2 linked regions of the Caenorhabditis elegans genome follow. The protein of the gene in region 1 purifies or fractionates together with the protein of each later gene. This does not show direct contact. Each region holds a gene or a part of one and is shown on either strand. Other genes may lie near its edges.

Evidence for each region.
Region 2: the proteins of cox-6C (region 1) and ucr-2.3 fractionate together in Caenorhabditis elegans (co-fractionation; one large-scale study listed by BioGRID). This does not show direct contact.

What each region holds. Positions count from the first base shown.
Region 1 is NC_003282.8:124,564-128,234, reverse strand, and holds cox-6C (Mitochondrial cytochrome c oxidase subunit VIc/VIIs domain-containing protein), read right to left. Parts: upstream 1,505-3,671; 5' UTR 1,504-1,504; coding exon 1,355-1,503; intron 845-1,354; coding exon 721-844; 3' UTR 595-720; downstream 1-594. Other genes in the region: grld-1 (RRM domain-containing protein), read left to right, coding at 2,312-2,376, 2,461-2,590, 3,305-3,671.
Region 2 is NC_003281.10:877,753-881,960, forward strand, and holds ucr-2.3 (Peptidase M16 N-terminal domain-containing protein), read left to right. Parts: upstream 1-2,107; 5' UTR 2,108-2,112; coding exon 2,113-2,187; intron 2,188-2,238; coding exon 2,239-2,295; intron 2,296-2,337; coding exon 2,338-2,484; intron 2,485-2,528; coding exon 2,529-2,957; intron 2,958-3,021; coding exon 3,022-3,361; intron 3,362-3,408; coding exon 3,409-3,644; 3' UTR 3,645-3,706; downstream 3,707-4,208. Other genes in the region: T24C4.5 (DNA primase), read right to left, coding at 674-754, 807-1,112, 1,157-1,367, 1,419-1,677, 1,723-1,822; zer-1 (Zyg eleven-related protein 1), read right to left, coding at 4,129-4,208.

The DNA.
Region 1 (3,671 bases):
CACCTCAATAATAAAGAAAATTCGGCAAATCCGGATCCACGGAAACCATTTTTCGGGGTCTTCGCTTCCATCCGGCTTTGCGAGTTTTCTATATTTTTTGACGTTTTTTTCAGCGGAATATTTTTCTTACCGAGATCTTAAATTTTCTAAAAAATCAGCTGAAAAACCACAAAAAACGAAAATCTTCAGGAATTCATATCCGTGGAATCAAAAACCCTGGAAAATAGCTCACGTGGATTCGAATTCACCGAAATTTTTTATATTCAAATTTTTAGTATTCTGATGCGTAATCAGCGTGGCGAGACCCTAAATTATCATAAAACTTTGTTCAAAAAGCTAGATACTAAAAATTTTTGCGAATCTGGCTCCACGAAATTCAAACTCCAGGGAAATTGTTTCCGCAGACACAAAATCGTGAAAATCCACGGGGAAATCGATTTCTCGGCGATTAAATGCTCAAGAAATCCATATATTTTTGCAAAAGCAGCAGAACACATGGTAGACGAGAAAAAAGGTGTCCGGCGTGCCAATTAGAGTCTGTAGTTGTCAGGGGAGAGTGCAGAGAAACCGAGACCTCGGCTCTCATCGAAGAAACGGATTACGAACATTTTTATTCGGAACAAACCAAGCTATTTAAGAATATCGCAACATTTCGAAGAGAATAAGAAATTGACTAACAAAATAGTACAAGAACACACACAAGATTCGAGGCGTGGGCGTCTACAAATCGGCAACAGTCTTGCCCTTCTCCTCGTAGAGCTTGGCGAGCTCCTGTGGGCATGTGTGCATGTATCCCTTGTTCGCGGCACAGATCTCCTTCATTCTGGTGTATGGATCGTAGTTGCTGAAAGAAAAATTGAATTTTCAGGGGGAAAATGACATAAAATTCACGATTTTGAACGTAAATTGTTTTTTTTTTAATTTTTTGTCAATTGCTCGTGTACTCCTTGAGGAAAAGTGTGTATTTTAATTTTTTGTTTCCTATTAGAACTGAAATTCTCCATTTTGGACCAGTATCAGGCAAAATTAGACGAAATGTAGCTAAAATTTAGTATAAAATTGAGCTCCGTAAATCGACAAAAAATCGTGTCAGAGGTTCACAAGCTTCTAGTGGTCATCCTGAGTGAAATATCAGCAAAAACGATAAATTTCCCAATAAAAAAACTGATTTCGAGACTTGTTAAAGTGAAAATCCGGAAAAATTAGCGATTTTCTTCGATTTTGGCACCACGGATCGCAAATTTATACTGAATTCCATATTTTTTACGAATTCTGGATGTCAAACATTCGCTCTTTTCACTAATTTCGCGGTTAATTTCAACCAACATTTTATGAAAAAGTTGAAAATACATACGCGAAGAAGCGTTCGTATTTCTCGTGTCTTGGCTGAACGTATCCGAAGAAGAAGGCGGCGGTGGCGCCGACGGAGGCGATCAACGAGATGCCGATGGCGCGACGGCCATATTGATGGAGCATGTTACGGGTGGCAGAAGCGGCAACCATCCTGAAAATAGATTTATTTAATTGAGCCTTATCGACTTTTTTTAATTAACGAAATACGATTTTTCCGGGAAAAAAGAGGTAATCAATGCAGTTTCATAATTTTAATGCATGATTTAACTGAGAAAATGGGACGAGAACACATAAAATTCAATAAAACACTGGGAAAAGCTCGAAGCGCCCTTTGGAAACGTGCAAAATAAACAGAGAGCGCCGGAATCGTGGAGCCTCGTTTCTAGTGGATTTTTAGAATGAAATTTGATATTTTAATTGAAAATTGTCAATTTTAAATCTGAAATTGACAGAAAACCATGAATTATTTTAGAAATTTCGATTTAAAAATCAAAAAATAGAAGAAAATCGATTTCCTAGAATGCGCAGTGCATCGCCGAGTACCGAGTACGGTCAACAATTTAAAGTACGCAACCACCGCGAACGTACACCGTCACGTCAGAATGCACACATCGCTGGCAAATAATTGATTAGCTCACGAGCTCTACAAATTCATCGATTTACACAAATTTCTGGTGTTTAAATATATTTTCAGATTCTTTAATATTAAAATTCATATTAAAACTCTATTTCTATTGTACTGTCTGTTCTATTCCAGCTGTAATTTTGAGAAAAATCGGCTTTTTCAGCAAAAACTCAGTGTTTAGTCAATCTTATTTCTAGCTTACTCTCTACTTTTTCTGTGTCTTATTATTGCTTCTTTTATTCGTTTCATTCTACACCTGAATCACTAAGAAATTTAACTAAAAATGCCGATTCTTCTCGAAAACGAATTAAATTCGAATTTCTTCAGCGAAAAATGGCAGAAGAACGCGGTAGACCTCAATACCGACCGAATTGCAACGGACTTTCCAGTTATTATCGGTAAGGAGCTTTTTGAAGAAAAAATTGCCGAAAAAAATCACAAAAAACCAATAAAAAAATCATAATTTTCTCTATTTTGTTCAGGGAACGCTTCGGAAGCCACTCACCAGAAGTCTACCTGAATCTTCGAATTTCCGGCTTCGATGACCGTCTGGAACGGGAACAAATCAAGCAATATCTGACACAAGAGCTCAAGAAATATGCTCCGTTTGAGGTAAAAGCAGCAAAAAATCGACTTTTTTTGTAAAAATAACTTGAAAATTGAAATCTGAAATTCCTAAATGTTCCTGAAATTGAACCAATTTTTGATTTTAATATTTCGAAAATCGATTAAAAAAGCAATCATTTTTCTTAGATTTCTATAAATGTTGCTAAAAAGTTAATAAATTCTTCAAAAGTCCAAAAAATATATATAAAAATCCTAAGCCCCAAAAATCTAGAAAGCCTCAACCAAAAATCCTGAGCCTCAACCAAAAATCCAGAGAGCCTCACCCAAAAATCCAGAAAGCCTCAACCAAAAATCCTGAGAGCCTCAACCAAAAATCCAGAGAGCCTCAACCAAAAATCCAGAAAGCCTCAACCAAAAATCCTGAGCCTCAACCAAAAATCCAGAGAGCCTCACCCAAAAATCCAGAAAGCCTCAACCAAAAATCCTGAGAGCCTCAACCAAAAATCCAGAGAGCCTCAACCAAAAAACCAGAAAGCCTCAACCAAAAATCCTGAGCCTCAACCAAAAATCCAGAGAGCCTCACCCAAAAATCCAGAAAGCCTCAACCAAAAATCCTGAGAGCCTCAACCAAAAATCCAGAGAGCCTCAACTAAAAATCCAGAAAGCCTCAACCAAAAATCCAGAGAGCCTCAACCAAAAAATCCTGAGCCTCAACCAAAAAATCCTGAGATTTCCGCAATTTTATACCAATTTTTTCAGATAAAAGTGGTCAAAAACCCGGAAGAAGACGAACGCCTAGCCTACGTGAATTTCGAGAGAAATGATTGTGCTCGGAAGGTCAGATACACCTTAATGGACCGTCTAAAATCAGTGCTCGGCAAGCGTGTTCAATGTGATCCAGCTGGAATTCTACGTGATCAGGAGGGCAAATACATTCCGGATCGATTTAATCGAGCTCAACACGGAGCCGACAGTAAACGAGAAGGCGGAAGTGGAAGCGGGAATCGGGGCCGCCCGACTAAGGAACCATCCACGTGGCGGCTAAAACAGGACGACGACGAGGCGACGAGGACGCTTTTCGTCGGAAATATGCCGTCGGATGTGAAGGAACGAGAGATTCGTCACG
Region 2 (4,208 bases), on another chromosome or scaffold:
AAAATTTTTTGAGAATAATATTAGAAATACAACTTTTCACTTACTCAATTCGTGGGCATTTGCTTACATCGAACTCGCCAATTTTTTCGACATTCAGAGGAACAGCAACGTTTCCGGTCTTCGGATGAATACAGAATGGGGATTTGAGCAAGTGATTTGTGCCTGTAAAATGTGCATGTTTAGTATAAAATCAACGCAGTTTCATTAAAAAATCAATTGACTAGTTAGGAAACTATTTTTTTTTCGTTCAGATATTTTTAAATTTTTCGAAATCTGTGGGGCGGGAAATTCTAAAGAAAAACTCTTTTCGAAACAAAGAACATTTTCAGTAGCGTAATTTCCCAAGATTTCGGCATGTCTCCTTAAAGGATCAAGAATTTATTAAGATAGCTAAAAAGTTAATGTTTTTGGCAGTTTCCTCATTTATTTTCTATTTTTCAACAACAAAATTCAGGAAAATGAACGAGGAAGCAGCCGCAAAAATAAAAAATACTACCACGGAGTTTTTTTTGCACGCCGAGACCCATCTGAATCAATCCGTGTGACTGCATGTCATGCATGTCAATGCATGTCAAAATCTGGTGAATTTACTATATTATTTTGAAATAAGATGATTTCTTTTTGATTTTGAAATTATTTTCTAGGTATTTAACAAAAAACTATTCACCTGTAGTTACATTTGCATCAAGACGTGGATAACATCGTTGAAGAACAAAGTAGAGAAGAACCTTTTTCGGTCGCGACCTTGCATTGTCTGAAAATTAATTTATCCATTTTCTGATTATTATCTCAAAGCTTCCACTTACAAAATCGAGAAGTCCGTCATTTTGAGAAAGCGTTTTGCGATAGTCGTTATCAAAAAGCCCACGAAGCATGTGCCAGCGTTCTTGTGGAGTTTTGAAAGACTCGGATATTCTACGCAAGTCATCTCTGCCGAATTCGGACATATACTGGTAATCTATGATAAAACGATCATTATCCAGCCATCCCTGTTCATAGATCATTTTCTCGAAAACTCCATCTTTCAATGCAACATTAAAAGCGTCACGCACAGTCGGCGGAACTCTCGTCAATTTGGCCCGACCTTCAGTCACCTCGCATTGACCATTTTTCTGTGAAAAAAAATTATTTTTTAAAAACAGACAAATCTTCTAACCTTGAATAAATTGAGTCTAGTCGCAATTGCAGACCTTTGATTGTTGTTCAGCATCCTCGCTTTCTTGTCGCCGACCCAACAATGTACTCCACGTCTACCAGAAAAGACCCACATTCGTGCTTTGAAATTGAACATTTCTTCCAGTTGGAAGTCTAAGATTCTGACAGCGAGAACCATGAATTTCCAGCATTTTGGGCAGACGGTGGCATCTCTAAAAATTAGATATTCGAAAATTGGATTACAGATCCTCTTAATAACGCACTTGCAACAATTACGAACTGGATCGTAGTCGGTCAAATCGATATCAAAAACCAATTCTCGTTCCACAGCTTGGTAATCTGTATATCTCTTGTTGTTAATTGGCTCGTGATTGTAGACAGCTCCAATATCAAGTTTTTCAGGATTAGTACTTGAAAGTGCTTTGACAAATGAGTGTTCGTCATTGTAACTACGATATCTGATATGAACATCATCTGCCAGGATGAATGTGAATTCTCGGCGGTTGAAATAGTCTCCGTAATCTGCAAAATTCAAATAACGTTAAGAAAATCGAAAGCGAAACTCACTCTGTCCGTAGCAGAGCCATTTTGTGAATGGTTTGACTGGGAAGAAGTTTTTGTAGTATATTGGCAAATCTTGTGGGAGTCTGATTGAGTTATAAGACATTTCTGAAAATTGAAAAAGTATAAATATTTGGTTCAAGCTAGAAAGTGTAAAAAATTATCAAAAACACGCACATATGGCCCGCTCTCATTATCACTCCGTCAAACTTATCACTCATTTGCATGCTTCATCACAGTGTGTGTTTTGTCGTAAGATTCAGTGTGTTGTCTGCAACACCGACCGCGCATCTTTGAATTTCACGAATCATTTTCTCATTTTTAATCAAGTTATTAATTTGCGTTTTCCTCGCTCTATTATTGTTTTTTTCCGTAAATTAGTTATTTAAAGGTAAAATGAGATCATCGTTTGTGTCTAAAAGTGCAGCTGCCATCAAAACCCAAAAACCAACAGGATCACTCAAAACAAAGGTTATTTATTTGTTGAAACCTATTTTCAGTCGACTAAAATCGAATTTTCAGCTGAACAATGGATTGAAAGTTGTTTCTCAAGAAAATAATGGAGCGATTAGTCAATTGGTGAGTCGCATTCGAGTAATAAAGCTATTTGCGATTTCCTAGATCCTCGCTTTTCGTGCTGGTTCTCGTTATGAAAAGGTCACTCAGCCTGGACTTGTGCATCACGTTCGAAACTTTGTTGGAAGAGATGCTCAATCTTATCCAGGGTTGCAGCTTGTTTGGTCATCAGCCGCCAGTGGAGCCAATTTGGTTAATTCTTTCTCTTTAAATTGCCATTTTCATTTTAATTTCAGAACTCTTTCGCTACCCGTGATATTTTCGGTGTTCAAATAAGTGTTGCTCGCGATCAAGCTGCTTACGCTCTCTCAATCCTCGGCCACGTTGCTGCCAAACCAGCTTTTAAACCATGGGAACTAGAGGATGTTACTCCAACAATTCTTGCTGATTTATCACAGAAAACTCCATATGGAATTGTGTTTGAGGATATTCATCGCGCTGCCTTCCGCAATGATTCCCTCTCGTTTTCACTGTACTCCTCCAAAGGACAAGTTGGCGCTTACAAATCCCAGGAACTTGCCAAGTTCGCTGCCAAGCATTTTGTATCCGGAAATGCCGTTCTCGTTGGAATTAATGTCGATGGGTCTATTTTGAAAAGTTATGCCGAGGAGTGTGGTGTCGTACCAGACGGGCATATCATCACCAATCAGGGGTCACCTTTCAGGGTGAGAAAAATTTAAAAAAAAATTTTATTATGTTGAATAAATATTGAATAAAAAATCATTTTAGGGTGGAGACTATCGCCGTTTCGCTCGTGGAAATGATGTTCATATAATGGTTGCTGGAGATGGAGCAGCGGTTGGAGATCTGAAATTTTTGGCTGCCCAGGCAGTTTTTCTCGCTCACATCGGACGTGCTTCTCCACTGAAATTTGCATCACTTCCAGGATCAACCAGTGGACTCGCTCTTGCGAATCTTCCGGAAGGAGTTACTGGAAGTGCATTCCAGGCACCATATGATGGAAGTGGCCTTGTTGGTGTTTATTTGCTCGCAACCGGAGCTAATGCAGATTCTGCTGTTCGAGCAACTGTCAAGGTGTTGAGAACTACTCAAGTTCAGGATATTGAAGGTATAGTCGAGATTAGCCCTTGGTTTTTAAAATAAAATATTTTTCAGGCTGCAAGCGCCGTGCTATCGCCGATATCTTGTTCAACGCTGAAAACAACGTCTACTCTGCCTACGATTTGGCGACAAACGCCCTCTACAACGGTCCAGAACAGTCGGAATTGATTGCGGAAATTCAAAAAATTCAAGAAAGTGATGTGCAGAAGTACACCAAAGCCGCGTTCGAACGTCTCGCCATCTCTGCATATGGAAATTACGGAAGAATCCCATATGCCGACGAGCTTTAATTTAAATTCGTTTTTGTCAACTTTTTGTGCTAATTTTCGTTCTCTTAAAAACATCAAATCGTTTACTACCATAGACTCAGAGTGAAGCTATGAAATGGAAAAGAGCTCAGTTTTTAGCGGGAAGATGTACAGTAAAATACAAATAGAATTGCACGAGAATGACAATAGCCAAGACAGAGAGGAGCTTGGGAACAGAAACTGAATAAGACGGGATGGGGAGAAACCGGGATGATGGACAGACAGAAGAACGACCAGAACCCAATGAGGATATTCTAGATAAAAATAATAATGTACAGAGATTGAAGGCGGCGTGGGGAGCTTTAGAGAAGAATAACTTTGATTTCAGTGATTCCTGAACAGCAACTAACACAGATTTGGGTGAAAAGTGGTTTAAATTGTATGAGAAGAAAGAAGAGGAGCGGTGCTTACCCGATAGAAAATAACAGAAATGAAAGAAAACTTTTATAGGATTCAGGACAAAGCCCTAGTACTCCATTGGAAGAGCATAATCATCAAAATCGACATTGACAAAGTCTTGAACCTCTTCATCTGCCTCAACGTCTC